Linked DNA regions of Lytechinus pictus. The protein of the gene in region 2 purifies or fractionates together with the protein of the main gene of each other region. This does not show direct contact. Links are inferred from orthologs where the notes say so. Each region holds a gene or a part of one and is shown on either strand. Other genes may lie near its edges. The genes, in order: gamma-tubulin complex component 6-like and protein NEDD1-like.

Region 1 (17,205 bases), about 52 Mb from region 2:
GACATGTTAGGATCTATGTACAACAGATTAGAAAGCAAGGTCTTTTGGAAGGGTCAAGCCAGTAAGCTGATACCCGTCACCCAAGGGGTGAGGCAAGGTGGGGTCTTATCTCCAACATTATACACTACATATGTTGATGGTCTGATAAAGAAACTCCGTGAAAAGAATCTTGGCTGCACAATAGATGGTCGTTTCTCCGGTCTGGTAGTCCTTGCGGATGACATTGCACTCATCACCTCCTCATCAACAGAGCTGCAGCAAATGTTAGAGGTTGCCTTTAACTATGCTCAACAATGGCACTACAGATTCAATCCTTCCAAATGTGCAGTAGTTGTAACAAACAAGACCAAACAACCTACAAGATCATCCTGGGAAGTCGGTGGTTCCATCATAGAGGAGAGAGATAACCACCCACATCTTGGTGTCATCAAATCAGGAACAAGATTTGATCCTACAGATAACATCATTGGAATGGGACTCCGTACCTTCTACGCTCTCTCTGGCACAGGTGCCTATACAGGTGGACTCATCCCCACTATTATATCCCAGCTATGGAAAATCTTTTGTATCCCTAGGATGTTGCAAGGCTCTACTGTATTCAAATTCACGAAATCTATGCTGCAGAAGCTCGACAAGACCCAGTCCCACCTCTTTAAACAAATTCTTGGGGTGCCAAAGTCTGCCGCAGATGAGATTGTATTCCTGCTGACAAATCTCATGCCAGTTTCCTCACAGATTGACCTCGACAGGCTACTGCTACTCGGGCAACTCATTGCTCTTGACCATAGTCGCTTTGAGTTCAGGACACTTCTTGCTGCTCTTAATGCAGGAACACCCACCATACGGGCATTACAAACCACATTGAAGAAGTATGACCTGCCAGATCTGCATAGTCTCATCTCCAATCCACCATCATATCCCGTCTGGAAACGTATGTCTAAATACAAAGTGCTTCATGCTGTAAGACAACTCACTCTACAAGGAATCTGTTGTAAATCTTCACTCAGGCTCTGGATAGACAAGGTCCCACCTTCTGCTAACCTCCTATATCCTAAGTACTCTATATCACCTACAATTCGTCACGCAATTATAGTTAGAGCCCAACTACTGTCCTGTACGTACCTAACTCAAAGTCGTCTATACACTTTGAAGAAATCCTCTACTCGTATCTGCCCCTTATGCAACTCTGCGGATGAAACAGTGGAGCATTTTGTTGCAGCCTGTCCAAATCTCAACCATCTACGTGTGGATTTTGTCAACAAAGCTAAGGAGTGCCTAGTAGACCACACATACTGTCACAACCTCTATGACAGTGATGACCCCCACCAACTTACTTGTGCCACCTTATTATCTTACCATCCTTGCTTGTCATCCGAAGTTCACAATAGCTTACTCCTACTATCCCTCTTTTTTCTCCACAAAATCCATACCTCCCGCTCTACGTCTCTTGAAATAACCTAAAACGGATCTGTGATTACATACGTTTACATTCTATCTGGACTCCAGGAATCTCCAAAGAAGTGGAGGGATCAGTTAAGAGAGAGAGGTGTCAATGTTATGAGGGTTTATTTCAAGCTTACTGTTAGATCTAATGCCAATTATTTTAATTGCCAACTAATCTTCTAGATCTAACATTCGGTCTACCATCAGTTCGTCCACTATCCACATGGTCTAATTGCCATTTCGTCCAATCACCATTTCGTCGGGATGGTCTACTAACCTCGCATGTTGTGTGAGTGGGTCTGGATATCTTCACTCATACTCATAGACACCCATATATGAATATCATTCATCATCATCATCATCATCATCATCATCTAGTACAGGAAGAAGGCGGTGGCCTGTAATTCCCGGTCACTCCATCTATGGTTTTAGTCTGGTGAGTTTATTACTGTACGCATGCTGAGGAGTGGGAGTCATGGTAGATCAAAGCGATGATCCCACCAATGTTTATCTACATGCCTTTTAAATGATTCTGTTGTTGGCAAGACGACTATACTTTCCGGGAGGCTATTCCAATCATCTATCACTCTTCTGCTAAAAGACTTGCTGCGAATGTCCAGTCTACAGTGCTCTTTCTGAAGCTTCAGGCAGTGTCCCCTTGTTGATCTGCCTACTGATTTTGTGAAGAAGTGATCTAGAGGGAGATTGATAAGTCCATGCATTAGCTGGTGCACGAAGATCATGTCTCCTCTTCTCCTCCTGTACAGCAGGGAGTACAAGTTCAATTCTTTGAGTCTGTCTTGATATGGGACGTTCTTCAGCTCTCTGACCAGCTTGGTTGCCCTTCTTTGGACCCTTTCGATCCTCCTTGCATCTTCTTTGAATCTGCTATGCCAGAGGATACTCCCATATTCAAGGTGGGGTCTTATTAGGGTTTTGAAGAGCAGAGGCAGAGTTGTCCTTGTGAGTTGAGTGAATGTCCTTTTCATTATGGCGAGGAGTTGGTATCCTTTGCTAACTGCTGATGACACATGCTGGTGAAATTTCAGCTGACAGTCCACTATTACACCGAGATCCTTTTCGGCTTCCACTACTTGCAAGTCTTTCCCATGCATATGGTAGCTTTTTCCAAGGTTTCTCCTGCCGATGTGCAACACTTTACATTTGTCATCATTGAAGGGTAATTGCCATCTCTCAGACCACTCAATAAGGTAATTCAGGTCGTCTTGAAGACCACTCGTCTGTGAAGGTGTATTTCCAGTACTATAGAGTTTCGTGTCATCAGCAAATAATACCACTCTGCTATTTATTACGTCAGATGGGAGGTCATTTATGTAGATCAAGAAGAGGACTGGTCCGAGGACACTTCCTTGCGGAATTCCGCTTGTAACAGGTGACCAGTCGGATGATTCTCCATTAACAAAGACTCTTTGTACTCTTCCGATCAAAAATGCTCTAATCCAGTTCAGGAGTTTACCTTCTATACCATGTGCCTTTAGCTTGAGTAAGAGCCTTTGATGGGGAACGCTATCGAATGCCTTCCGAAAATCAAGGTATAGGACATCGATTGTTTCACCTTCATCTAATAACCTTGACCATTCCTCAAGAACATAAAGAAGTTGAGTGGCACACGTCCTTCCTGGGGTAAATCCATGCTGACTCTGTGTGAGTAGGTCATTTCTTAGCAAGTGTGTAACTATAACATCTCGAAGAATTTTCTCCATCAACTTTCCTGCAACGGACGTAAGGCTAACAGGCCTATAATTTGAGGCTTGGGTTCTACTCCCTTTCTTATGGATTGGTACTACAGTTCCCTGCTTCCAGTCCGATGGGAGTTTACCTTCCTGCATAGACTTGTTACAGATTAATGTCAATGGTTTAGCAATGGACTCAGCTAGCTCATATAATACTTTAGGATGCAACCCATCTGGTCCTGGTGACTTATTTGTATTCAAGTTTTTTAACTTTTTGCTGACATCTATCTCTTGTACTTTTACTTCACTTAGCGTGGGTAGGTCACTTCGCAAAGGAACTTGTATATCCGGTATACTGTCCATGTCCTCTCTAGTGAATACTTCGGAGAAATGATCGTTAAGAACACTTGCTATTTCACTATCTGATTCAGTAAGTTGTCCATTACCCTTCATGAGGCTTGTAATACGACCTTTACTCTTTACCTTGCTGTTAGCATAACGCCAAAAAGCTTTGGGATTATGGCCAATGTTTTCAACTAGGTCGAGTTCAAAGTTGTTACTTGCTGCTCTTGTTTCTTTCCTTAATTGGTTCCTCACTCGTTTATACTGTCTGTAGTCGATTTCTCTCTCGTCTCTGGTCCTGTTCACATCTGAATATCGTTTCCAGTAACGCGTCTTCTTCTTAGACAACTTAAGTATAGCTTTTGATACATAAATATACTTGCGTACTGGTACATAATTTTCCACACCTTCTTTTATATTGTGAAACAATGAGGTCCAAGCTTGTTCACAAGTTTTGCCAGTAAAATCCTTATCCCAGTCAATTTTTTCAAGAGTCTCATTCATGGAATTGTAGTCCCCTTTCTGGAGGTTTGGGCGACTTTCTCTTTCTGGCAATTTGTCTTTTTCCTGAAGTATGTCAAGCTTGGTCAGTATACACACATGATCACTAAGTCCAAGTGGAGGTAAATAATCAATTGAAGATATTAGGTCATCAGCTGTACATGTAAATGCAAGATCCAGAACGTTTGGATTTTGGCCATGTCTATATCGTGTAGGCTCATATATATGCTGGTGCAGGAATGCTTCCTGGGTGGCAGTGAGAAACATGTACGATGTATTATTGGAGGTCGAATTTACATGCGATCTTTTCCAGTTGATGTCCGGAAAGTTGAAATCTCCCATTATCAAAAGATGCTTCTCTCTGTTTTCACTGGCCAACTCTATGAGTTCACAAAGTAACTTATTATTTTCTATTGAGCTAGAGGGGCTTCTATAAATACATCCAACCATAAGTCCTTCTCTCCCTTTCAGCTTAACAGAGCACCAAACACTTTCGGTAAATTCGATGTTGAATGAAACTTCGTGTGCTTTGAGTTTTGTGCAAATGTAGATTACAATACCCCTATGGCAGTTTTCCTTATCCATGTTTGAGAAGATCTCATATCCTTCTAGTTTAAGTAATTCATTTGTCACTTTTAAGATGCCTGATTTAGGAACTACTTCACATATCATTACTATATCTGGGTTATGCTTTCCAATAGAAATTTGTAGCTCTTCAATTTTGTTCAATAGAGAGTCTGCATTAGTATAGAGGACCGTTAATTTGTTTTGTGATAAGTACTCCATATTTTTGTCCACAATCTCTGCTTCTGGTCCTCCATTCATGTCTCCGAGTCATTGGCTATGACGGTTTCCACCCACTGCTCCAAAGACTCCATCTACTTCAATTTCACTTTCCATATCGCTATCTTTATCATCGTTTCTATGGTGTGTCTGTTGGTGAGTTGGTTGTGGGGTTACTTTTTCCTGGAGATTTGATCCAATGTCTGTTTCCTGGAATTCTATTTTGTCGCTTTTTCCACTTACTTTTCTAGACTGGTTTCTCTTCCAACTAGTGACAATCTGGCCTTGACGGATCACCAAATCTTGTTCCCCATTCTCTCTTCTCTGTTTCAGTTCTTGTCTTAGTTTCCAATTTTCCTCACGTTGTTGCCTTGTCATGTCCGGTGATATATACGTATCTTTCCACTTGGTAGTTTGTTTAAGTTTCTTGGCGGCTGAGAGGATTTCGTTTCTCATGCGTGGGCTCTCTAAATGGACCAGTAGAGCTCTGGGTTTTGATGTTGATTCTTGCGTGGCATCGTCACGCTGCTTCCTTCCCAGTCGAATTGCTTTGGTTATCTTGGTGTTGTGCACATTGAGACCACTCCTTGTAATGTCCATAACTGCTTTCATATCCTCTGCTACTCTGTCATGTATTTGGTCATGGCGAGACTCAGGTACATTGTAGAAAACGACATTGTTCTTTCGTCTTTCTCTGTCTACTAATTCCTCCATTGTAGTCATACTCACAACATTCCCTATCTCATATCTTGGGACTATTTCTTCTCCATCTTTTTCATTGACATTAGCATTGCCATTGTTGATATTGGAGTCTTTCTTAGTATGAACATTAGGTCTTTGAAGTATAGTGATTTTGTTCTTTGATCCCTGTGCATTTACATTGCCGACAGACTGTTTACATGCATCAGCATATGACTGTTTGATTTTTTTCACGCCATCGTCCAACATCTCTTTCATTGAATCTTGAGCCTTTTTCAGAATTTTCCCGACAGCTTCATTCACTTCACTTTCGACATCCTTGCACATACTCTTGGAAGTGATTTTATATCTTATTCTGGCTTTGGCTGCTTCAATTGCAATCTCTTCGCAATCTCTGCAGAACCAGTGTGCTCTATTTTTGTCATTAGTAAAGAAGTGATACATGTCCAGTGACAAATTGTGACAAGATAAGCACGACCACCTTTCGCATGCCTCGCATTCAATCATGTGCGACATACCCTCATCATCACAGTACTCACATCTGTACATGTCATGGACATGGCCATGGGTGACTTGCCTGTGTTTCTGCTTCTTACTTGTTTCTTTCTTTCCGGCACCAGCATGTCCTACTTCTTTTCCCTTAGTCTTGCCAGTCTCTCTGCCTTGCTTACTCGATTCAGAGTATGATATTGCTCTTTTCACCTTAGTCTGCTTCTTAGATCCAGTTGTAGTTGATTTCGATCTCTGTTTTGTTGCGTTATTCCTTCCATCATCTAATCGTACGTTGTTGGTGATATCAACATCCGGGTCATGGCCCGTGGCCTCATTCGCTATAATATCTTGACTTGCATCTTCAAATTCACTTTCATTTCCATCCTCGTGATCTTGGTTATTCGGATTTTAATTTTTCCGAATGGTGATATTTTTGAAAGAGTTTTCTGAATCTTATCCATCCTTCAAGATTTTATTTTATTTTATTTTTTTTTTCTTTCTCAGCTCGGTGACTTGGTCTTGGCCAATCGGTGCAAGTACGCGTCCCTCGATCGCGGCGGATGAGGCGGCTGCGACACGTGTATGATCGGTACGATGGCTACCCTGGGGATTGACTTCCTGAAAGCCACGGGCACGCCAAATTTTCCACCTCAGTTTTAGCTATTTCAGGCTGCCAGATTTTACCAAAAATCAATCTTGAAGCATATGAATGTGCCAAAAGACATATGCAAGGATAAATTCCTTCTTTTGGGCAGATTTAAATGTATTTTCCGAAATTTTGTTCTAGAAAAATGAGAGCACAAAATGAGAGACGTCCACTCCTCACGCATGCGCAATACAGACATAAACTACTGGGCTTTCGCCCACATAAAACATCGCGCATAATCCGGTATTTCACATTCTGCTTGCCTTTGACACTTACCGAATCATTTAGATCATTCCGTGACTTTTCCTTGAAGTTTCTTTTAAAAAATATATATATTTTCTTGATCTTTAGTGAAGATTTCACGGAGATAAAAATATGTCGGTGCGGATATCAATTTTCGCCTAAAGAGGGCGCGCGATGTATATCATATCAAAGACACACGACAAGGGAAAGACTAGGCACCTACACTATTTTACACGCAAATCGACGCAAGGCATTACGCAAAGTCCGTCAAGTGTCCAATCTTTTTATTGTATAGACATTGGTATACCGTATTATTGACGTTCGTTAAAGCCTGTACTGCTGGTTCCGTTCCAGGCACGTATATTTTTTTCAATTTTTATTTATTAGTCATCGTTTTAAATTAATTGCAAAAAAGTGTTATCATCGCCAATAATAATCTTGAATTATGTTTTTGAAGGTATTTCATTTATTGGTGCCCATAATTAGTAAATTAATCATGAGAATTGCGCATTCAAAGAATTTAGACACAGTTATAAAATTACCGAGGAGCTGAATCAAGGTTGTGAAATTTATTAGCGCCACCAACGGGCTTCCTTGTATTTCCGTAGAAGAGACAAGCGAAGTCACTTTCCAGGCCGAGGTAAGCGAAATTTGCTCTTTTTGACCGATTATTATATTCAAATTACATTTTTAATTTTTTAATGTATTGCTACTTACCGGAAAGAGCCCTGAGTAGCGAGAAGGAGTTTCGGCAAATATTACTTCAGCAATGAAGCGATGTTTGCCGACTACTTCGAAATCCAGGGTCAAACACGGTCCGGTGTACGAGGTTAGTATATATATATATATATATACTAACCTCGTACTAGTGTGAGTGACTCATAGAGTAGAATTCACTGAGCAAAATACCGAAAATTTCATCAAAATCGAATACCAAATAATGAAGTTATTGAAGTTTAAAGTTTAGCAATATTTTGTGATAACAGTCGTCATGAATATTCATTAGGTGGGCTGATGATGTCACATCTCCACTTTCCGTTTTCTTATGTTATTACACAAAATCAAAATTTTTTCATTATTTCATACTTGTGTGAATAATAATAAATATCTCTCCCTTATAATGAAATAAGTTGCAGCAATAAATATCTAATGCACTAAATCAGTTGTCAATCCAATTTTTCTAGTTCTTGGAGGAAAAAATTTGAATAAACCTAATTTCATATAATAGAATACAAAAGAACAAGTGAGGATGTGACATCATCAGCCCACCTAATGAATATTTATGACGACTGTTTTCACAAAATATTGATAAATTTTAAAATTCAAAATTATTCAATAACTTTGTTATTTTGTTAAACTTGACTCAAAAGGAAAGATGAAACAACTAGATCTAGTTATGAAAACTCTATAACTTGTTCCTCCGGTTCATCACCAAATCAGTAATCTGAGAATCCATAATATATTTATATGATTATTTTGGTGGAAAAACTGTTTATCATGTGAGATTGTTTGCATCATTGAGAATCTGCTCCGATCCTACATGCCTAGCTAGTAGCCTGCCACACAGAGTAGGGAGGCCAGTTCGTTAATAATGTATTGGGTTAGCAAGAAAATCACAGCAGAACTTGCAAAAGTTTATAGTTATCGATTTTATTGTTATCTCTGCTTCGTCATCTGTTGGTTATTTGATGAAAAATTCGTCACTTTCAAATGTTTTAATTATATTTTGTTCAAAATTCTGAAATATCGGGACAAATAGGCATTCCGGGAAGGGTTTTTTCGGGAGCCGGGACAAAGGAGCAAACTATGGGACGATCCCCAGGAAATACTGGACGTCTGGTCACCCTGGACGAGTTGGCAGTAGACGAATTGGTAATTTACCATCATGGGGACACAACAGTGCCTGGTCCTGGCCTGGCTTTGGCCTGGGGCACCCATGGGTGCATTGCATCTCAGTTGTATGATTGGGTGACCATAATTTGCGCACATTAAAAAAATTATCATGAAGTTGATTTTAATCAAAAACTTCTCACAGTTCACACAAAATTAATCAAAATCATGAATACCAGACCAAAGGCAAGATCCCTAAGTCAAATTTGCTTGACGGAATTATAATAAAGTAGAGGTCTAGGTCAAGGACAAGGGTTTTGCTGGTATCGCGATCTCAAAATTCCATGGCGATCAAAAATATGGGAACGAGTGTGTACAACTCTATGGAAAATTTTCCATAGACTTACTGGTTCCCATTTTGGCGAGCAGGTTATATTTATTCAGTGTCATTAATTCTGACGAAATAAATCGCACTTAAAATGTCTTTGATTGAAGACAGGTTATTATGTATAGTGAGATTTATTTAGTGAATGTGATCGATATATATATTTTTAAACTGTGTGAAAGTGGCCTTGAGAGTGGAGAGTGGTCTTGAAGAGCAGGGAAATGCTTGGTACATGTATTAATAAAAAAATATGTAATTCCATATTTGACTAAATAAAACCATGAAGCTAAGTTTCTTGTTTGTCATTGTTGAAAGTCAGTATTGATTTAAAAAGAAATATGCTATTCATTGGTTGGCCTATCAATGCATTTACTGAAAAAAAAAATTATTCTAAAAGCAAAGCTAACTAGAGAAGGATCTTGAGCAGGATTCAAACCCATGCAAGTTGTACATCAGTGCAGCATAGAGCTTTGACCTGACGCTTTTACCACTAGAGCGGGGCTATTGATGTCAACATTTGAGTGTATATGGTTCTATACTTCCGCTCTTTAGCCATTCTGTACCTGTGCTTCACTCTATTTTTTATTCAGGATTCACTCTATTTTTTATTTAGGATTCTTGCTGATTTTAGGATTACTGGGCATATTAGCTATATTATTACCTGAATGAGCCATGTTTGAGACAAGATAAAAGTTCGTACTTTCATACTTGTATTATTTTGGATGTATTATGGTCAAATTCAAGCGTGCATAAATTGACATTTGCGCTAACAATTACATGCATTACTTGCTAGTCTCCACAAGTACTCAACATTTTATTGACTGCAGCATGCATTAACTTTGCTTTAATTGTATAGACGATATACATAAAGTGCTATATGCTGGGAAACAAGTAATAATTAATAATAATTATAATGATATTGACTGGCATTACTATTGGGAGTTACCACATATAATTCCTGCTCATTGCCTTTGGCAATATGACTAGGGATATATGTCCTCCCTAGTCTCCCTAAAGACCAGTCAATATATAAATATAGCCCTCTCATGCCTTTTAATCGTGTTACTTTGCATAATGTCGGGAATAATAGCATTCAATTTGTAATTTAAAGGAGAATGAAACTCTCGGAGCAAGTTAGCTTTTGTGAAAGCAGAAAAATCAAAGAATAAGATCAACAAAAGTTTGAGTAAAATAGGACTAGCAATAGAAGAGTTATGAGCATTTGAATGTCGAGATCACTAATGCTATGGAGATCCTCCCATTGGCAATGCGACCAAGATCTATGATGTCACAGATGAACAACTCTCCCCTTTTGGACACTGAAAATATACCCCAAAACATCTCTTTTTGCTCATTCTAATTATATGACAAACGATTCATCAATGATATAATGTTGTGAAACCTCTGTACTTGTCCTCTCATAAAGAGAACACCTCACCTTGTGATAGACTCTATAAAAGTGAGAATATAAGTGAAATAAGTACTAAAGTAAAGAGGGAGTTGTACGTGTGTGACATCACAGATCGTGGCCGCATTGCCAATCGGAGGATCTACATTACATTAGTGATCTCAATATTCAAATGCTCATAACTTTCTTATTATTCATTCAATCTTCCTCAACAATATGTTTCTTTGATTTTTCTCTTTAATATGGATTCAGCTGGTTTCAAGGGTTTCATTCTCCTTTAAGTATACATGTATCAACGTTATGGTTACTAATTATAGACTTACCGCAAATAGCCATATGCTATTTAAGAACCATGGGATTCAAAAGGGGACAAGAATGCTCTGAAGGGCAGATTGACATGGATGGTAGATAGGGCATTTCGGGAAGAAATTGTAAAGAATGAAGAACTTGTGTCTTGTGACCATTGAGACTATGTTATTGTTCTTGATGAATTTAACTTTCTTGCTACACAATTAATAAGCTATCACATTTTTTTTCATTGTACTTAAAAATACAGGTCTTCTTGTCCTTCGCTTGATTGACTTGTAAATAAACTTAAATACCCTGCAAGAAAATGGTGACCCTTGACCCCACATCCCCCCAGCAACTCTTTAAGGATCTTGTTCGGAGAGCTGTTAGTGACACGTTGGGATCCTCTCGTCCAATCCGCCTGGGAGAAGATGCCGAGGATATCGCCAGGTTTCGCCAGAGATTGCAGACCAGACTGTTCGATTCCCTCTTTGGAAGTCTCCCTGGACCCCTGCAACACAGCTGTTCAGCCAGAAGCAATGCAGCTGGGATTTACTCCCCCAAGGAGCAACTTGTCATCATCATTTTCAAGCTTCGTGTGGAGAGGAGATTCGACGAAGCACAGCAAATGGAGTTGATTTTGGATCGCCTCTCAAAGTTGAGCGGTAAGCAACATCCAACTCTTGCATCCTTGTAGCATAAGTTATGCTTCAGTCACACCTGGGGAACCAACTCCAGACCGACCAAAGATATCATATTATTTCCAGTGACATACCATCTGTCAGCTTTGTTGGTATGACTGTCCCACCAGGATTTCAGAGCTCTGCAGAATCACCACTCATGAGATGAGCCGTTGGAAGGTTTCTGGTTGATCATATGCGCTCTCCTTGCCATTATATTGACAATTACTGCACACTGTTTTGTATACAAATTGCCATAGATTTTTCACATTTTAATCACTCAAGAATAGACAATATTAAATAAAATCTATCATATCAATTTTCACATGAATCCTGAGATATTCTAAAGCATTTGCGAATGTGATCCATGTCATACGTTATATTTCACCTAAAGCTTAATTATTTTCACAAATTTTGTTGCTGTGTGTTCTTTTTCATTAGCAGAAGAAGACAGTGTATTCCTGGAGGGAGTTATTAAATTTCTTCTGGCACTATCAGGAACCAAGCAGTCCTCTCACAAGGCTGTAATTGGTCACCAGAAACCAAATCTTCCTACTGTTGGTTTGACTTCCAAAGAGGTACGTGAAGCCCTGCTTTATACATACATGTAAAGCTCAAGTCTTGTTTTGATAAGTCCTCAAGGAGGGGAACATAAAGAGATACAATTTATTGTAAATTTTAATACATGGTTTGCTATAGGGGCATTTTCACCACAGATGGACACAGAGGCAAAAAAATCAAGTTGATATTCATGTCAAATGCTTTATGTTTTTTAATAAAACAAGACCTGAAGTTTCTGAGACAAAATTTTTTTCCGACTCTGGCAGCCATTTTTTATTTCAAAATGGCTGCCAAAGTATGGATACAAATTAGTGTTGAAAATAGTATATTGATACATATTTTGTTTTGACAGATTTTTAAAGAACAGGTTTGATCATGATGTTTTCGCCTGTGATTTAGCTTGCTATTATAACACTTTTTAAAATCCCTCAGAAAGAAACACCAGTAATTCATTCATCTGATAAAAAAACATTGATGAAGTATGTGATATGGTATGTAATGTCAGTTACCGAAAACATGAACTTTTTTTTCTCATTTCCTGGAAAAGAGGATATATTATATGAAACTTGGTAGATTTCCTCTCTAGGTAACACCCCTCCCTTCTACACCAAAATTAAAGATTACCAATCAACAATGAAGCCATAGGGTACCATTAAATATATGTAATGTCAGTTACCAAGTGGAAAATGTAATGTCAGTTACCGAGATGTAATGTCAGTTACCATGATAAAACGTTGGTTACCAATATTGAAATGCAAATATGTGGTAAATTTTATGGTGAAGAAATATTGTATACTTGTTATTTAAGTCTTTCACTTTAAAAGTCACACCAGAAGGAGCTTGCTATTTACTTTTAAAAGGTATAGTTCACAAGGAATACTATATGAAATTATGAAGGAAGTTGCATTCCCATTGTGCAAAAAAAATTACTATGAAATTGTTTTGTACATGTACTTACCAAGTACCTAATTGTTTGTATCAGACAATTTTTTGTTTGGTTTTCGGGGGGGGGGGGGGGGTAGGGGGTACTTTTTCCAATCTATTGCCTAAATCTGCAACATTTTTTAAGCTTAACATTTTGATGAAGGGGATTTCCAGGGTCCCTTTTTTAGTTTCTAGGATTCTTTTGAGCATTGCCTCGCTAAAAGTACATTCCTGGATTTTTTATACCTGTTAGTAGTGTGGATGTGTGATACAATTTTGTTTTTGGTTTACAAGTATAGATGAAAAGTGAAATTTGACAGTTCTGATCAATGTTGCATGGATCTACTAAAACTGTTTTTTTTTTCCAATTTACAAATAGTTCAGTTTCAGTTTAGAAGCTGGAGTTTATTTTTTGTTGACAGTTTATAAAAGAAATTAGCAAAGAAAATGATTAAACAAATTATGAAGAGAATTGAAATCCGACAGATATGAACAAGCATTGCTTGCACTGACCAGAATAGAAATCAATAAAACTACATGGCTGCATGAGATTCGGGGGAGGGGTACATGTAGCCTAGGGGAGGAGACCCTTATTCATTTTGCCTTTTTGAGGGGAGGGGGAGGTTGGAGAAGGAAAAGGTTTAAAAAGTCAATATAAAACTGATGAATATATTATGGGTGTATAATCAGAAAAATCCATGTGTACAGTCAATGCAATATTAAATTACTATAGAAAAACATGTAGCTGCTATGACCCCACCCCCCCCCCCCCCCCCCCGAGTAAGTAAAACATACATTTCTTATCTTTGGATAATTAAAAATGTGAAGTATTATGAAACTTTTATGATTTTAAAAAGCCTTACATATAAGTACCAAGAAAATTATGTCTTTGAAAATCATGTAGCACTGGTAAATGTTAATGTGTATATTGTCAGTTACCGACAAGTAATGATAAAAATGTTCAGATCAAAGAAAGGAATTAAGAAAAAGAAAAAGTTTTTTCATTGAAATGTTCCTAAAAACTCGGGTATACTTCCACATCAAGCTCACTTTCATGTGAAGCCCTGCACAGAAGATACAATGCAATGATTCCACACATTTGACTTCCATGTGTTATCTCTATGGCAAATTAAGTGTAATGTCAGTTACCGTAATGTCAGTTACCAGCATGGTTGTGGAAAAATTATCATAGTCCCCAAAAGACAAAAACGAATTGTTTAATATTTTGACACATCTTAACCTAGTAATGGAGGTATATTTACATATTCAAATTATTACTCTATGTACTCAGGGACATAAGATATTTCAATTTTAATGAACACCCTGAAATTGCATGTCCTTTTGCGTAATGTCAGTTACCGACACATTTTTGCTTGCTGAGGCGTAAAAAAATGTGGTTACATAGGAAAACTTAGTATCAGAGTATACAGCAAGGTTCACTTTATTAACTCTATCAAAACCAAACTCCCATCATTTGTTGTTTTAGAGATACACACAATGAAAGGTGTGAAAACATTGTGCCGTGTAATGTCAGTTACCGTGAAAATGCCCATAGATGATTGTACAATTGATTTTATCTTTTGTGTGAAATGGCCCTGATAATTTGTGACAGATTCTTGAATGTATTTTTTAACAAGCCTATGCAAAGATAATTCTGTGAATGTTTATAGCTCATGTTAATGAATAATAAACAAATGAACTGTGAAATAAAGGTGAATAAAAATGCCTTCCTTCACCATTTAAATTCTGGTTGAACTTCTAAACATATATGAGATATAAAAAAGACATACTATTCTATTTTATTAATTTTGTAAAACACAGAAATTCACCGCAAATTATTTGATTCCTCAAGCATTTATCCTGTTACAAATGGTTACCTGATTCTTGCATCATGATGATACTCTCTCCTTTTTCTTCTGTCTGTCTTGAGCATTGTCCTTGATTAGACCAAAGAACTTAAAAGTTCACAGTGACTATTTACCTTTTCCGCATCCTCTTTGGAGCAAACACGTTTCATTTACTAAATTTTTATGCCTCATTTAGCCAGTAGAGATGACGTTTAATAATAATAATAATAATTATAATATTAATAGAATAAATCATATGACATGCTGCTTTGTCTGATATTTTTTTAGGATATTGCTGCTCTACCAGGAGGAGATTGGTTTCATGGTGATGGCAAACACATTCATAGATGTGATGAGCATCGACCATTTGTTAGTTATTCAAGGTATTATTATAATTATAATAATCGCATGTAAGACGCTTAATAGAGATGTTTCTAAGCCCTTAATATTTTAACTATTAATAGTTACCGGGATTGTAAACAAAATTGTAATTAATGAATGAATAAATAATTAAACCTCAAATTCAATTTAAAAGAAAACAAAACAAAACAAAGATGTGCATCTCCATATAGACCAACCCACAGCTGATATACAGAGTGGAAATACGTAAACATTAAAAGGTGACAAAACATAGTGACAGGCGTGGAATTTATTTATTAATGTGTGAATTGGACGCCTCTTCAGGCTCCTATATTTAATTAAGCATGAGCAATGCATGAAATCAGTATAAACCAGGATTTCAAACCACCTTTTTGTCTCACCTGAACGAAGTTCAGCAGAGACCTACATGTAGTAATGACTTTCCTTAGTCTGTTGGTCTGTTGCAAAAATGTTAATTTTTTTTGTTTAACTTGCTGTCATTGCTTTATTTATGCATCAGTTGTTTTAATACTTGGTACAACTGATCCTTGGGTAATACCACATTTTATGTGCTGAAGATGATGAGGTCAAAGTTTGTCTAAATGGTCAAAAGGTCAAATTATCAAAGCATGTTTTCATTTTGTTATTTTTAAATAAATTTTAATTGTTCATTTATTGCCATATATATACCTACAAAGCTTACATCAAAGTCCATCTTTACGTCAAAAGGTCATTTTTTTCATGCTTTATTGATCACGAAATCAGGCGAGACTCTTGGTTTGTGAACCACCTTGTCTTTTTAAAAGTAAATCGTACCAGTGTATTTTGTTTGCACTCTACCAATTGCCATAGTTTTGCTCTCTTTCTTGCTGTGCCTCAAATATGTATTTTTTCCCCAGGGTAGGAAATCATTTTATTTTCTAGGGTTTTTTTTCTTCACATTGGGATGGTATGCTATAAAGTTGAGCACTAAGCTAGTACAATTATTGAATATATAATTTACATTTACAGGTATACCTTTTGTGGATGTTAGTTATTAACACTCGGTTTTGTTATTGTTTTTTTATGTCTTTTAGGGAACTGTTTGAAGGTCCAAGTATCGATCAGTTTGCTAATGACAGTGGAATGTCAGAGATGTCCAACAATGATAGTCTACTTGATAACAAGGTATCATTTCAAGTCTATTAGAGGACTTGCATTTCCAAAATTTCTTTAAACAAATGCGTTTTCATGGACTGGTCACCATTATGATGGCTATTGCATGGTTAACAAAGTGCGGTTGATTGTCAAGAAAATGGTGTGTTGAAAAAGTTTGACTCCTAGCCTGCAAAATGTCTTCTTTGAATAAATTATTCAAATTCAAGCATTATTTTAAAGAAACAAAACTTTTATTCCTTGATCATGTTCTTTGATGGACATATCTTATTCAGGGATGCCAGTTTTCAGGCAAAAGCCTGAATTCAGGCTCTGGCCATTTATTTTCAGGCCATAGTTTTATCATTTTTGTGTACAAAATATTGTATTATAGGTGATTTTCAGGCCCTCTGATCAATTCCAACTGGCATCCCTACTTATTAAAGAGCAGGTATGGAACTTTTTAGGCATGTGATTTCTTTTTGAAGTTCATATTCCGTCTGGCAAATTAATTTTTGGTATTTCTTCAGATTATTTTTAATCACTTTTCTACCAGAAAAATCATTTAAAATATCCAGATGAAAGAGGAGATTCTAAGCTTTATGATAGGTCATTTGTCTGTATTGTTTGCAATTAAGTTATGATAAATCAACAATAAATTTTGGTTTCCTTTTTTTTCTGGGACACTCTGTATAGTCTGACTAATCAACGGGGCATCTGATGTCATGGCATTGGATCAATTTAAACAGCACTGCACTCTTTATTACTGATTTTAAGAAAATTCAATGTGTTTTTTTTTCAACCAGATATTTGAGGCCGAGCCAGGCCAGGACCTGCGTGGCAACAGACTTTTTGCAGTCAAGGTCAGTGATTCCGAGAATATGTGATCGGCCATACCGAAATGAGAGAGAAGTCGCAAATCAAAATTCCTAGAAATTTGACGAA
Region 2 (17,210 bases):
TGCACCCCCTGACGAGTCACAACCCCAGCAAGGCACGTACCCCTGCCCCCCTGACGAGTCACAACTGATCCCTGACGAGCCACAAGTGGCCCCCTCTTTTGAACTTGAAGACCTTTTCTTTTTTGCTCGTCAAATTTTTTTCTAGTGCAAAATGTCCTTTATTTGCTGTTGAAAACTTTTTTTTTTTTTTTTTTTTTCTTGTCAATTTTTTTGACAGACGAATTTGCCCCCCCCCCCTTTGGAAAATCCTGGGTACGCCACTGCCTGACACTCAATATTTTGTTCACTATTTTTTTATTTTTTTTTACACAAGAATTCACTGACATGATGCTACAGGGCATCGAATCTTTAGGTACCCGTCCTGACTCAGTCCGTACTAGCAGAGAGAAGCTCTGGATGAGACGACTTCGCACCACCCAACCTCATGGCCTGAACATCCAAGAGGGGAACGACTGATTATTCTTTCCTATCCACTTTCAATTTATTTATACATATCATTTTTCCCCTCAGCTCTTTTGAATAGTTACATTATAGTTTCTTCCTCTACTTTCCTCCCATATCTCATACAAGCTCAGCTCCAATTTTTCCTTCCTTATTCAGGCGATATAATAATTATTATACAGTGCGTCCCAGAAAAAACGAAACCGAGATTAAGCGATGATTTATCATAACTTAATCACAAATACAATAGACAAATGACCTACCAAAATAAAGCCTAGAATCTCCTCTTTCATTTGACATTATTTAGATTATTCCTCAATCAGGCATGAGTGAGCAAAAATAATTTGAAGAAAGGATACCAAAAACTCATTTGGCGGGGGGTTATCTGAATTTCAAAAAGAAAATCACATGCCTAAAAAGTTCAATATCTGCTCTTTTATTTGATACCTTAATCACAAAAAATGGTCAAGAAGTAAAAAAGTTATGTTCCCTCGAAATAATGCTTGTATTTCCATAATTTCATGAAATAACCGTGTTTTCACCGGTTTCCCACAGAAGCTATCGCATGGTTAACAAAAGACTTAATGCATGGCTGATCGTCAACAAAACAGAGTGTCGAGTGAGTTTGAACACTAGCCTGTAAAACCTCTTTATTTCATGAAATTATTAAAATTCAAGCCTTATTTCAAATAACCAGAACTTTGTTATTTCTTGACCATTTTCTGTAATTGAGGTATCAAATTAAAGAGCAGATATTGAACTGTTTACAAATGTGGTTTTCTTTTTGAAACCCAGATACAGCCCGCCAAATGACTTTTTGGTATCCCCTCTTCAAATTGTTTTTGCTCACTTATGCGTGAAGGAGAAATAATCTAAGTAATTTCAGATGAAAGAAGAGATTCTAAGCTTTACAATGGTAGGTCATATGTCTATTGTATTTGTGATTAAGTTATGATAAATCATCGATAAATCTCGGTTTCGTTTTTTGTGGGACACACTGTATATATATTTTTTTTTCTCCACTCACCTCTTTTAGATTTACCACATTTGCTTATTTACATGTATACTATGGTTTCTTCATAATACACCCCCTCTCTTCTATATTTGCTTTTACCTTTTTAGGCAATTTGCTTCCTCTTTTTCACATATACAGGGTTTTTTTTTTTTTTCCTACTGTATAGTCCTATGTTTTTTTCCCGTCACACCTAGCGGATTACAATATCAGTTACACCATATGTGTATTTATATTTTTTCATATACATTTCTTTTTGGGATATATTTATATACATATCACTTATAGATACATATTTACACTTACATTCTTCTCTTAGTTTGTTTAATGCTTTATCATATATACTTATATGTCTTTTGCACATTATCAGTTGTTCCCCATTCTTTTCCTTTTTCCCCCCACTCTTATGCACCAGTTTATTATGCCTTTCTTTGTAACCTGTTTGACCCACCTCTCACTAATTCTCTAGTTATTCATCCCTCTATCACTGTTTTGTTCCAGATCCTGTTTTTTGTTGCCTGCCTCATTATCTTAATCCCTCTTGGCCTTACTTACACTAACTTCCCTTTGTGTCTGCCTACTCCTTTTCTTTCATCCCCTTCACTAACCTGATTGGTCTTCTCTACTCACTAATGCCCCTTTTGTCTCCTTGTTTCTAGTGTTGCTGTAGCTTGTTTGTGGTCTATATTATGGTTGTTCCACTTTATATGTTTGTCATTTTGCCTCCGACGAAGATTCTGCTAGGATCGAAAGCTTAGGCCCCTTTTTTACTTTCTAAGAATTATTGTTGTCACAGGCGGCGGAGGGGGGGTACACATTCAATACCCCTTAAATTTCAGGATGAGGGGAGAGTTCCCCGTAAAGGAGAATGAAACCTTTGGAACAAGATAGCTTGTGTGAAAACAGAAAAATCAAAGAAACAGGTCAACGAAAGTTTCAGAAAAATCGGACAAATAATGAGAAAGTTATGAGCATTTGAATATTGTGATCACTAATGCTATGGAGATCCTCAAATTGACAATGCGACAAAGATGTGTGATGTCACTTGTGAACAACTCTCCCCATTACTTTAGTATATATTTCACTTAAAGGAGAATGAAACCCTTGAAACCAGCTGAATCCATATCAAAGAGAAAAATAAAAGAAACATATTGAGATCACTAATGCCATGTAGACATGGTAGATCCTCCCATTGGCAATGCGACCAAGATCTGTGATGTCACACACGTACAACTCCCTCATTACTTTAGTACTTATTTCATTTATATTCTCACTTTTATAGAGTCTATCACAAGGTGAGGTGTTCTCTTTATGAGAGGACAAGTACAGAGTTTTCACAACATTATATCATTGATGAATCATTTGTCATATGATTAGAATGAGCAAAAAGAGATGTTTTGGGGTATATTTTCAGTGTCCAAAAGGGGAGAGTTGTTCATCTGTGACATCATAGATCTTGGTCGCATTGCCAATAGGAGGATCTCCATAGCATTAGTAATCTCGACATTCAAATGCTCATAACTCTTCTATTGCTAGTCCTATTATACTCAAACTTTTGTTGATCTTATTCTTTGATTTTTCTGCTTTCACAAAAGCTAACTTGCTCCAAGAGTTTCATTCTCCTTTAAGGACGTTCCACAGTTATGTTTGTGCGCATTATGATCTGCGCATATTTAACACTGCGCGCTGACGTCACAATGGATGAACAGGTGATTAATTAGCTGTGGGTATGAGCTGATTTTTCTCATCATCTGCACCCTAACTGCAGATCCGATGCGTTATTTTATGAAGCTAAAAAAATTGAATTATTCCATGGATCATTTAAAAAAATATTTCTACTATTTCAAAATACTTTACTCTGCAGTACTGAGTTTGAATAAATGGTAGAGTGGTTTTGATTTTTCTTCACATAGATACAAAGCAGTTGGCGCATTTTTGGTGTTTTAAAAAGCACATTTGCTCTAATAAAAATGCTGATAGTTTGAAAACAAGCACATGAACCCCTATTTTTTAATGTTTGTACCTCTTATGTATAGCTTCCTCTACAACTTTGCACATTTTGGTGAAAATGACATGGATTTTGAATAAAGTGCAGCATTTATTGTACTTTTGTAGTCTGTTATTGAAATTTCACATTTTTGAGATTGGGTTTTTATTATCTTTTACGCCATTTTTAAGAACTGACTGTGCTGTTAGACTTAAAGTTGCAAACAAATAGCACTATAAATAGACTCTTCATTCTAACGATACAATTATTAACTCTCTTGCGAAATTTGATGACTTTTTCATGTATTTTGACTGAGTAATAGAGGTTTAAACTCATTGTAGTATTCTTGCGAGGTCTAAAAATGCCAAATTATTTTGAATGCGCAATTCTTAAGAACATCAATTTGGGTGAACTTTGAAGCTCTATAGCAAAAAATCAAGCTCATGGATCTATGTTAATTTTTGCATATTTCGAATATTAAGGTTCTTAAGTATCTATGTGCAAAGTTCGGTGTAAATGACATGGATTTCACTTTAACTGTGGAACGTCCTTAAATTGCCTCTTTTATCACATCTATCAGTAGATCATGTGTTCTTTCTAGAGGAGGGCATGTAATACAGATTTTTAAAGGATACATCATGGATAAAGAGTTTGTATCACAATAAGTAAAAGCAAAAAGAGACATTTTGAGGGTATTTTATAGTCCGTCAAAGGGAAAGTTGTTCACATGTGACATCACACATTCTTGTCGCATTGCCAATTGGAGGATCTCCATAAGCATTAGTGACTGCAATATTCAAATGCTCATAACTTTCTTATTATTTGTCCGATTTTGCTCAAACTTTCTTTGTTCTTATTCTTTGATTTTTCTGTTTCGACACACACCTACTTGTTCCAAAGGTTTCATTCCCCTTTAAGTCTTTTAAGAAATAAAGAATGAAAGAAACAAAGAACAAAGACTGAGAAAAAAAGAAGAAATCAAAAATCAAAAGAATTCAATTACGCTCAGAAGAAAAAAGAAAGAAAGGGTATTAAGGGAAGAGGAAAACAGACAAATGATGCTCTGATATAGTACTAGAAATATTATAGATAAGCCCCCCAAAAATAGCCATTTGGAGTTTTTGGACTTTTTCATTCTTTAAACATGTTTATCTAGACGAAACAAAATTGCCAATCTGTCGAGGCTATCGAGACATGTTTACCAGAATGCATCACGAGTAGTGTTTCATCCATCCGGGTGGAAAAACTCTATGGCTTCGTAATATTTTTTTCTTTATCGATTTGTCACGATCAAACACCATTGAACGAACCAAGAGTAGTGATGGTCACCGGAGGTGGAAAAATCGGTGAGCTTTTAGTCATTTTTCATATTATTTTCAGCAATTAGATCATATAAATTTATGTCAAGTATCACACTTGATCTAGTTCGATAAGGTCATGATGTTTGGGGTCAGGGAAGGGGAGGAAAATAGTCTATGTTTTTTTTTGCCATGCTAGTGTATACACCCGAGAACGAGGTTATATTATAACCTCGTTCGTAGGATGAGTGGGACAACATAGCCACTCATTCAATGAACAAGGTTATGATATAACTTTGTTCTCTGTTGAGTGTTGTATCTCCATGTGAGGCAAAATAAGGGTGGCAATGTTTGGCTTATTTTCTCCTTTGGGACAAATGCTTGATTTTCTTACACTGACAGTTTCCATTACACCTATTCATCATACAACTTGGCTCTTCAGTAAATTTGATTCTTTAAATTATTTTTTTCTTAATTTAAAATAGAGATTGAAAAATGAAAATTTTCTTGCCATACATACTTTCCACCAATAGAGGGCGTACACAAAAATATGCCCAAAATTCAAGTTTTTGAGCGCTCTGGTGAATACGAAAATTATTCCCAAGTTACTTATGAAAAATAAATTGCTACTGTAAGGAAATTAGTAATTTTGGTCACAAAAGTTGATATTTTAATGATTTTTTAAAGTGTGTGCTCTGTACAGCATTGGCATACCATAGCATAGTCCTACCTGTAGATTCCCCACAGGCAGGATGGTTGCAGTGGACAAGTGAACATAGCATCATTTTAAGTTAGCAAAAAGTTAGAAGAGACTATTAGTAATTGGAACATAATGTCCATGACGAAAAAGTGTCCATGACGTTCTTATGATTAACCTGCCTAAGTTGTGAAAGATACTATTGAAATTTGGTTTTCATATTCGTGTAGAGTTAACTAACCGTTAACACTATACTGCTTTGCAATTAAAATGAACTCTAAATTCAGAGAGTTTTTTAGTTGAACTTTAATAGTGTGCAAAACGTGTGTTTTCTGTGTAATGTCCATGACACCCCGGGGGCCACTTCCATTCACGAGTGGATACCATGCGCGACTATGGGGTCTCGAAAAGCACCCTAAACAGGTATTTTCCATATACTGAAAATGTACCCCTTAACAATTACTGGCGTGTTAAACCCTACCCTTTGCCTTAACAAGTATTGGAAACAAAACGATACTCTTGGCAAGTATTCACTGAATTGAACCCCAAAACAAGTACAGCGATATTTCAATTGTTATGTCACAGACGTCGGTCGTCGGTTTTACCTTTACCTATTGGGTTTAGTCCAGCCCCACCTCCCTCACCTCGCGCAAATCGTACTCTAAACACGTAGTGTTGACTCTTCGGACAAAAAGTACATCCTTTATAAAACATTTTAGTCTTAATTTTCTATACCCTCGCAAATTTGACCCTAAAATTAAATAGCTTTCCTAGCGAAAAAGATACCCTTTTTTCATTATTTTAGTGTTTTTGACACCCTTATTACGTTACGTACGTAACGTGCCCTATCTTGAAAAAGACATCCTTTTTACGTGTGTTTTTTGGTCGCGCATGGTATCCACTCGTCAATGTAAGGCATGGCGCTCATTTGCATAATACCTGTCGTAATAATTAGCAATGGATTCCCATAAAAAATTAATGAGAGGTAAAAATTTGCTCCAGCTGCAAAAATCAATTAACAAACCCAAAATGCAGAGTTTAGAAACATATACCACTTAAAAGTTAAAGCAGAAAAATTGGTCCACATGTATAGTCCATGACGCAGGAATCACCCATGTGTTGAATTGGCATCTTAATTTAGAAAGTTTATGGATCTAGCTCATGAAACATCGACATACATGTAAGGGTAATCAAGTATGAATGATTGTTTTGCACATGTCTTAGGTCACATGATCATGGTCAAAGGTCATTTTGGGTCAATGGACATAATATTTTATTATCATATATGTGTTTTCTTCTCTGAATAATTATTCATTAGCTGTTTTCAAAGGCAGCACTGCTGCTATATTGATTTGCATAATGCCCTTTGTAGTGGCCTTGGTACCCTAAAAAATATGAGATATTTTAAGGCCAAACTGGCCTTTCCCTAAATATGACATAATTTAAAGCTTATGACTAATTACGACTGGAGTAGACTTTTTAAAATCAATTCAACTTTTTTAAGGAAACTTACTGAATGATATGAAGCCGCTTTTCCCACATATTTATCCTTCTGTGATTTTCTAGTGAATACCAGAAATATTCTAAGAGTTCGGGATAATATTCCATGGATCGCAGGTGAGTGGAATATTGGCCCTAACGAGTGGAATATTTCTGATTATTTCATGAAATAAAGCCATCCAATATGATTATTATCATCTATCCCAACCCCCCCCCCAAAAAAAAAAAGAGGGAGCAATTTGATTTAACAAGTCATATCACATTATGCCATTATCACTTCATACACACTGTAGGATCAATTTTGGTCGTTGACATGTAGTTTATTATGACGTCATCGAGCTTAGTTGTGCTCTATGTTGCGCATAGCATTGCTTTCATTGTTGTACGCGTTGTATATTTCGCTCATGCGCCCTAAACTGTTTAATAAGCTCTCATATTCAATAGCAAATTTTGTACAGGAGCCAATGGGATATTCGTCGGATTTCGGTCTTTTTTAGGGATACGCTCTGATACTGCACAAGCAATTGACGCAGACCAAAATACGCGTTTTTAATGCATCGCTAGAACACTATATAGATGATAATATGGATTATTCTGTATATTGCATATGGAAATATATTTTATATTCTATATTGTATTATTTGTAACACAGTAATAAAAGTAAAGCAAACAAAACAAAGCAAACAAATTTATGGTCAATGAACTATTACATTACCATATAAATGGTGTTTTTTATGAATTATTATTCATCTTGGTTGTTTTTATAGTCAGCATTGCTGCTATATGAATGTTGAATTGCGTAATGCAGGCGAGACTGCCAGAAGCGTTCCACTTGTATGTACCTACAGTGTATTTACCATTTGCGGGAGGCGCGATAGCTCAGTCGGTAGAGCGGGGATTCGTATTTCGGTGACCCGGGTTTGATTCCCACTTGGTGCGCTAGTGCCCTTTGGTATAGGCATTAATCCTCAGTACCAGGTCCTTCGGAGAGGACCTTAAGCCGTCGGTCCTCTGGTTGCTTGCTTACAAGCATTAATGCTTTCTTAGCAATCAGGTAAAAAATCACCACCAATTTCACCACCAAAAGAAATGGATGTTTTCTTTTCTTTTATATATCTTGTAGGAATATTTGCTGAGAATTAAGTTTATGTTCCAGATTATTGTAATCCTTTCTGATGATTGACAATGGAGGAGGGACCAGTGAGATTTGCTTCTGGTGGAGATGATGTAAAGATTTGGGATCTCTCAAGCTCTGCTCCTCAACAACAGTTCTCACCACATGCAGGTCCAATCTCAAGCCTTTGCTGGAGTCATAACAATATCCTTTATTCATCTTTAGCTCGACTGGCCTGAATTGATGAGCACTGCCACCCATGTTTTCCACTTTCTCTGTATTTAGTATCTCTTCAGAATGTAATTTTATTAAGTGGTAATATTTAAGATATCATTAAAATGCAATCTCATTGATGAAAAATTGAATGGTCATGTGTGTGACCCAAAGTTTCCCTTCACTGGCCTTTAAACAGCAGTTTTAATAGTATGCTGGATTGCAATCTTTTGTCTTCAATGGATGATGTACATGTATGTAAATTGGGTTTACAACTTCACAAGCGCACTACACAAATTCCACCCAGTCAAAATTAACAAAATTCTGACACAGTCTAGCTTCAATAATCCTTACTAATCTTATGTCAATAATAAAGAGATTGGTTTAATAACGAAGAGGCTGTAGCCCTAAAATCTATTGGTTCATCAACCCAAAGTCACAAAATGGCAAAAGAAAGACCAATGAAAATGAGATGAGATTAAACCAAATGGTCATTCTTTGCTTGACTGCTATGGTCCATTCATACAGTATGCTTCTTTGACCTCAATAGGTGTGTTTAAACTGTTGATTTTAACTTCCTGTAACTTCTTAGTTATTGAGGCAATCAATTAAATATGGCGATAGTCATACTGTGAACTTTAAAAAACTGGGAAGTTCTTTTAATCCCATCTCATTTTCATTGGTCTTTTAATAATATTAATAATAATATATAATTTTATAAAGCGCAGAAACTATTCCATAAAGTATTATTCTACTGCGCTATTTAGGACTCCTAAAAAGCTTGTTATTGATTAAATAGATGTGTTTTGAGCTTTGATTTAAAATTGTTTATGGATGGTGCTTTCCTAACTTCCAGGGGTAAGCTCTTCCAGAGCTTGGGGGCTACACAAGCAAATGCTTGATCACCTAGTGTTACTTTTGAAGGATAGAATCTGTAAAAGCAGAGGATCCGTTGAACTGCGCAAATTGCAACCATGATTACTGCTCAATAATTCTGTAATGTAGCTAGGAGCTTGACCAAGGAGTGCTTTGTATACAATTAGTAAGACTTTGAATGCTATTCTCTGCCATATTGGCAACCAATGTAGGTTTCTTATACCTTGGTCACATTTGCTCTACGGCGGCCATACGGCTAGTTGAAAACAGCCGTTTTAACATTTTTTTGTACCAACTACATATAGGTGGTCTGAATTAAAATTGATAAAACTGCTGTTTTCGACTCGCCGTAGAGCAAATGTGACCAAGGTATAAGTATTTTTTTTTATAATGTTTTTATTAAAAAAATCAAAACAAATCACAAACAATCACAAGCAATCAAAACATTTACAAGATATTGTATCATTAAAAAAAAGGGGGGGGGGGAATAAAAGAATAAAAGAAAAAGACCAAGGTATTAGTATTGGTGTGATGCATGTATATTTCGTAGAACCAAATATAAGCCTTGCACAGGTGTTTGCACCCTCTGCAATTTCAATAATTTTGCAATTTCTAGACTTTGGATTCCGGAACCAATTGATTTGAGGGGCTAAAGCATCTTTGTGATTAAACCAATCTCTTAATTATTGACATGTGCTTAGTAAAGATTATTGAAAGTAGCCTGTGTCAGAATTTTGTTCATTTTGACTGAGTGTAATTTGTGTAGTGCACTTGTGAAGTTTGATAAGTTTCTTTTGGAACCCAGTTTATTACTGATGAGTGGAAGATGAAGGTTAGAATGGTAACATAAGAAGAAGAAATAATGAGCATGATAAAGGAGGTCAAAAGAAGCATGACAGAGAACAGAAGACAAAGAGAGTCAAGGAGAGATCTGTCATTTGACGTCATTATATGCTGAATTGGAATATGGAAACGTGTTATTGCTTTCTGTGCTTGTAAATTCAGTGTACTTTTCTAATATTTGTGTAAACTAGCCTCACCAAAAACCAACTTAATTTTTTCCTTCTATTTTTATACGCCAGTCCTCTATGAGGCGCCGATTGTACCAATATTATATAGAACAATTATTTGTTATATAATCATTATTTATTAAATAATAACTATTATTTATATATAATTTACATTTTATTTGTAAATAATTACTATTATATAAAATAACATATATATAAATCAATGTGCCAGGCTCTTTTTAGCATGGCCGTACACAGAATTTCTTTCGGGGGGGGGGGGGGGGGAGCATGCGTGTAAACTCGTTCTCAAGTTGAAAGCGACACAGCGAAGCGACCAAGCTTGTCATTTGGGCACTTTTTTTAGTTTTAAAAGTGAAATATGAAGGCTTTCGTGCACACTTTTGGTGAATTTTGTGATAATTTTCAATAGAAAAATAAGTTTTCAAAAATTTAGGGGTCATCATGCCCCCGTATTGTCGTTGTGAGCGTTTTTGGGAGAACAAAAACAAAAAAACAAAAAATTCTAGAAAGTAGAAGGGCCTGATACACTTACACTCACTCTCTCAGCTCATATGCACTTGATCCACTTCCATTAAGGATCCGGATTTCGGGCTAAATTCCGCCCGACAGTTCCGGGGACCAACCAACGTAATATTTCGATGAAGAGCATTTTGTCGATTCACCGGTTGTTCCCACTCACACGTATTGCGAGGTACCCTATACTAAGGTCGCACCATGAACCGCATTTTTCAGTGGATTTCTAACAAGTGGGTCTCGCGTGCTGGGATCTCACTTTGGTGTCCACAACACGCAACTTCTATGGCTTAATTTTTTTGTGCGCGACAACATGTAATGAACCCTTGGGTTGTTCCTACGATCAGAGAGAAAAGGTGAAATACACGCGCGCCTACGGGGATTGTGAACTGTAGGAAAAATCGTATAAAATTACACTTTTTGATATTTCTGCGAAGACGAAGTTATATAGAAAATGAAGAATATTACAATCAGACCATATCCCTAGAAAATTGCTTCAAGAAATGCCATTATGAAGAGGAAACGGACAAAAATTTGTGAAGAAAAATTACGAAAAAGGAAATCGCATCATGAATATTCATATCATGGGCGGTCCCACATTTGCATGTTATAGCGAGTTTTCCATTATTTAATAAATAATGGTTATTTGTATATAAATAATTATTATTTGTATATAATGGCAAACTGTAAAAATTGTTTATAAATAATGATTATTTATAAATAATGGGATATTGAAACAAAATTATTATTTATAAATAATGAAGTAGATGTTTCATTATTTAACAAATAATCTTTATTTGTAAATAATGGAAAACTCGAACATTAAATAATGATTATTTATAAATAATGAAAATAATGGCGCACTCGAAAAAATTATTTATAAATAATGAAGTAGACGTTTTCATTATTTAACAAATAATCATTATTTATAAATAATGGGAAACTCAACAAATTATTTATAAATAAAGAAATGTGCACTGGCATTGTTAATGAATAATTATTATTTATAAATAATAGAAAACTTATTTATAAATAATGGAAAAACAAATTGCAATTATTTATAAATAATGAAGTATGTAGTGTCATTATTTATAAATAATGAAAAACGAAAATCATTATTTATAAATAATAAAAGACAAATAATCATTATTTATAAATAATGAAAAACAAATAATCATTATTTATAAATAATGAAAAACAAATAATCATTATTTATAAATAATGAAAAACAAATAATCATTATTTATAAATAATGAAAAACAAATAATCATTATTTATAAATAATGAAAAACAAATAATCATTATTTATAAATAATGAAAAACAAATAATCATTATTTATAAATAATGAAAAACAAATAATCATTATTTATAAATAATGGAATGTCGAACTAGTATTATTTACAAATAATGAAGTATTACTTGGATTTATATATAAATAATTAGAAATGTTATTTTATATAATAGTATTTATTTACAAATAAAATGTAAATTATATATAAATAATAGTTATTATTTAATAAATAATGATTATATAACAAATAATTGTTCTATATAATATTGGTACAATCGGCGCCTCATAGTCCTCCTATATGACATATTATGGTGTCACACTCGGTGTCCGTTCATCCGTTAACTTTTCCTTGTAAACGCGATAATTTCAGTTTGACTTAACCTAGGCTCATATAATTTGGTGTGTATGATACTAGCATGGATCCTAGGAAGTCTATTGATTTTGAGGTTAAAAGGTCAAAGGTCAAGGTCACTTTGACATATTAGGGCCGTCTGCACCATCCCGAGTTTTCAAATTAGCGCGCTATTTCTGATCCGGCAAATTATCCCGATCTGAAAAATCTCGAGATAGTTTGCAGTGGAGACGCAATTATCGCGCTAGTTCGTAGGATTAATCTCGAGATTGCAATCCCAAGTCAACTCGGGTTTATTTGCAAAATAGCGCGCTATTTTACGAATTATCCCGCTAATTCGTAGGTGCAGACGCACTCGAGATTGGACTCGGGGTAATTTATTCATGACGTCAGTCCATAATGCAATTCGCGTTCCACTTCCGCCTTGGTCAAAACATAAACACGTGCGAAAGTCAACTTTATACATGCGAATAGATATTATCGCGAATAGCGTTCATCAATTGCCTAATCAGCAACGATGGTGTCCCACCAGTGAATGGATTTTGGGAGAGACCAGACCGAAGGGGGAGGCGCTCATCGACGATGGTCATATTCAATAACAACACTGACAGAAGTGTCGTCTTATTCCTTCGCAAAATGTGAGCAAATAGCATTTCTTTCCTCCTTCTCTCCCTCTCTCTCTCTCTCTGTCGTTGCCTCCTACTCCGCCATCATATTTAACGAAGAATACATCACTTCTTCACTCGCTGAGCTGAGAGGATTGTTGTTTAACACCGGTCGAATTCGGCGAAAATGCTAGTGAAAGGAGTACATTGCTTGCATATCGCGGGAAGTTATTCAAAAGCGCGGGCTGTTGAAACTCCAAGATCCGAAAGTGCGCATGCTCGGAATATCGGGCTTGTTGCCTCGCCCGAGCAGGAATCGCTCTTCTTGCGATGGTGGAGACGGGGTTTCTTGAATCTCGAGATTAATCGCGAAGTGGGCCGATCGGGCTAAAATCTCGAGATTGAGCAAACTCGGGATGGTGCAGCACCGCCTATTTTCATCTTACCCTTCTGCAGTCCTTGGAAATGCCATAACTTCGGTTTAACTTAACTTAGGCTCATATTATTTGGTGTGTATGATACAAGCATTGATCCCAAGAAGCCTATTGATTTTGAGGTCAAAAGGTCAAGGTCACAGGGACATATTTTCATCTTACCCTTCTGCAGTCCTTGTAAATGCGATAACTTCATTTTAGGGCAAGTCCAAGAATTTGTGCGTGTTACGTATGGGACATTTCAGAGACTTTAATGACCTGAAAAATAGTGTTAAATGACTTTCATTAGATGTAATACCATCATGATGGTAGACATCTAGGAGAAGAATAATCATGCAAAAAATGGTGACATATTACCTTGTCCTTTTAGAGAGAAAAGATGTGCCGTTACGTATGGGACGCAGAAAAAAGACAATTTTTAAAACATTTTTTCCAAGTTGAGAATTCTCTGAAAGTATTTCATTTGACAACTTGTAACTTAGTGTGATAGAAGTCACAACACTAGTATATCTAAGGCAAGTTTCATGTCATAAGCTAAAACCCTCTAATTACATACTCTAATTAAACAAATTAATGACATGTTACGTATGGGACATTTTGTCCCCATAGAGAACGTACACAATTTTCCCCATAATTTCAACAATTAAAATATGGAAATAACAAGAGTTTTTTTCTTTTAAAATATTCTATTGAGACATATTTGATATGACTGAAAAAGAAATTTGCCATTTCAACAATTTTTTTCTTGTTTTTCATGATTTCAAGAATTTCTTATGTTTTTCTATTGTTTTTTATATTTTTCATATTTTTCAATTTTCACAATTTTTTTCACTTCGATTGTTTTTATTGATCAGTATTCATAACAAATCAGTCTCTAAAAACTAAAGAAAAGGTAAATAATCAATTTTTAGAGCACTCTTGAAATTTGTTTTTCTCCATTCACTTTGTACACAAATCTCCCCATTGACATTGTGTGTAAATGTCCCATACGTAACATGTTGTCCCATACGTAACAATTTTTTTAATTAACTTTTAAATTAAAAGTAAACTATATTTTTGAAACTTTTTGTGGTACAACATTTTCATACTTAATAAATTAGAACTTCCCAGAGATGCAATATTACAAGTATTGTATTATAAGAAATAACAAAAAAAAAATCCTTAAAATGTTACGTATGGGACATTCCATCTTTGGACAAGACCTTATTTGCATACTTAATTAGATGACACCACTTTTTTCCCCCAAAAGTAATAAGATGTTATGGGGTCCATGTCCCACCTATGACTAAATCTCACAAGTTTTTTTTATATTTTTTTTTATGAGTTTGTATAATTGTCCTATACGTAACGCCCATTTTACCATTTATGCAAATTAGGTGCCCCAAATTAGCATAAATATGCATATTATCAACTTTTTCTTAATAACATTTTAAAATTTATTTGGGCTTTCTTACCCCACCAAAAATAACTTCTTAAATTAAAGATGAAATTTTGCCTTCTCGGGTGACCTTTTCTTGGACTTGCCCTTTAACCTAACTTAGGCTCATATAATTTGGTGTGTATGATACTAGCATAGATCCCAGGAAGTCTATTAATTTTGAGATCAAAGGTCAAGGTCACAGTGACATGTTTTCGTCTTACACTTCTGCAGTCTTTTTAAACGCGATAACTTCATTTTAACCTAACTTAGGCTCATGCAATTTGGTGTTTATGATACTAGCTTGGATCCTAGGAAGCCTATTGATTTTGAGGTCAAAAGGTCAAGGTGACAGTGACATGTTTTCATCTTACCCTTCTGCAGTCTCTGTAAACGTGATAACTTCAGTTAAATTAACCTAGGCTCATTTAATTTGGTGTGGATGATACCAGTATGGATCCCAGGAAGCCTATTGATTTTTAGGTCAAAAGGTCAAGGTCACATTGACGTGTTTTCATCTCACCCTTCTGCAGTCCTTGTAAATGCAATATCTTCAGTTTAACTTAACCTAGGCTCATATATTTTGGTGTGTATGATACTATGATACTAGCATTATAGTTATCTGAGAAGTAACTATTTTATACTTGGTAATGTTCCTTGACAGTTTGTTATATCATCACATCAGCTTTTAGCCAGTGCATCGTCAGTTGGGGATAAGATTGTGCTCTCCTATGGGAAGAGTCTCTCAGCAAATGTTATTGAGCTTGCTGTTGGGGTAAGTGATATGAAACATCTTGATGATATTTATTAGTGTCTAGTAATAACACTGAAACATCAAGACCTAATGCAGCCAAACTCTTCATTTGAAAGTACTTTGACCAGCCAAAAAATTTACGTGATCCCCAAATTTAATCTGGCAAGGAGATATAAAAGGGGTGATGCAGAGTTGACCTAAATTTAATGTGAAAGGACAGAGAAGTTGTGTATGTCTTTAACAAAAGCGGGACAGATAATAAATTTTTTTGTGCCAGCCTTAATTAAATGACTTTTCTAGGCCAGTCCATTCTATTAATTATGGAGTTGAAGTCTTGATAAGTTGATAACTATTATAAATCACATACTATAGCAACAGATTTGGCCATGATCACATGTCATTTAAGAGACTGTATATTAAGGATTACAGACTATTATTTGCAGAAGAGTTTTTAAGTGATTAATGGATTTAACTGCTTATGCATTTCATATGCTAGTAAATACATTTTCAAATGTAAAGATTTGTCAAGTTATTTAGCTAAGTAAACAGAATTTGACCTCAAAATTTTCAAATGACTTGAAAAATCTCATTAATTCTGAATTGAAATAATTTATAGATAATATTTATAATCAAGTTTTATTTCTGATGTCCAGGATAAGCAGACATGTCTTTCTATAAATTCCACGTCACGGTACATGGTCTGTGGAGGCAAGAACAAGCTAATCAGCATATGGGATGTCAAAAACAAAAAGTTAAAGAGGACATATAAGGTATTTATGACAGATTATATAGCATACTGTTCTAATTGTTGGGATGCATTGACAGTATAAATATAGCTGTAGGAATATCATCAACTTTGTTATCATAATAAGGAGATACAATGAGCCAAAATGAATTTCATGACTTGGTATAATGCATGCAAATTTTTATTCATGGAGATGATGCAGTTTTGTTGTCTGAAATACGTTAGCAATTAAAAAAAAATCAAAACATGCAATATTGTGTAAATGCTAAACCTAATAAAGTTTCAATATTGGAACATGATCACAACATCTTGAAGCCTCGGAAGTAGCTTAGACTGCTCATCTTGCATCTAATCATTTGATATTCTATTGGTAGGGGTATTACTGGAGAATAACTATCATGATATATCAAATCATAAAAGATTAATTGGTCAGATTATTTTACATGATTAATTAATGTATAATCAGTGATTCTTATTTTTTAAATTGGTATTTCAATATTTCCATTCATACTACATTGCTTTAATTATGTTGTTTGTATAGAATGAATAAGATTGGCATTTATTAATTGAATAGGAGCATCGAGAAAGTGTGAGCTGTGTTATTTTCAACTGGAATGACTCTTACATAGCATCAGGATCAGCAAGTGGAGAGATTTTACTTCACAATGTAGTATCTGGTCAACCTGGATCTCCTATGCTTGTCTCAAATGGACAGGTAGATACAATCAAGTCATCAATAATTTAGTATACTTTATGATTATGTTTGTTGAAGAACTGCAGTAAGTGACTTGATATTAGTTCACTAATTCAAGTATTTCACACTACATGAATCGCCAATGTTTATTATCATCAAAGGCCTACTTTTTCACACACAGATCAACATGTTTGCTAGATAGCACTCAATGTGATTGGGAATGGAAAATATGAAG

What was found.
Region 1: the proteins of protein NEDD1-like (region 2) and gamma-tubulin complex component 6-like purify together in Homo sapiens (affinity purification with mass spectrometry; 3 studies listed by BioGRID and IntAct, with this or other methods). This does not show direct contact. The link is inferred for Lytechinus pictus from reciprocal best matches to the Homo sapiens genes NEDD1 and TUBGCP6.

What each region holds. Positions count from the first base shown.
Region 1 is NC_087247.1:26,628,993-26,646,197, forward strand, and holds the start of gamma-tubulin complex component 6-like, read left to right. Parts: upstream 1-11,014; 5' UTR 11,015-11,079; coding exon 11,080-11,419; intron 11,420-11,875; coding exon 11,876-12,012; intron 12,013-15,054; coding exon 15,055-15,149; intron 15,150-16,202; coding exon 16,203-16,293; intron 16,294-17,066; coding exon 17,067-17,123; intron 17,124-17,205. UniProt on the Homo sapiens protein: Component of the gamma-tubulin ring complex (gTuRC) which mediates microtubule nucleation.
Region 2 is NC_087247.1:78,937,809-78,955,018, reverse strand, and holds the start of protein NEDD1-like, read left to right. Parts: upstream 1-8,057; 5' UTR 8,058-8,120; coding exon 8,121-8,253; intron 8,254-15,446; exon of another isoform or gene 15,447-15,462; coding exon 15,463-15,557; intron 15,558-16,189; coding exon 16,190-16,306; intron 16,307-16,855; coding exon 16,856-16,996; intron 16,997-17,210. UniProt on the Homo sapiens protein: Required for mitosis progression. Promotes the nucleation of microtubules from the spindle.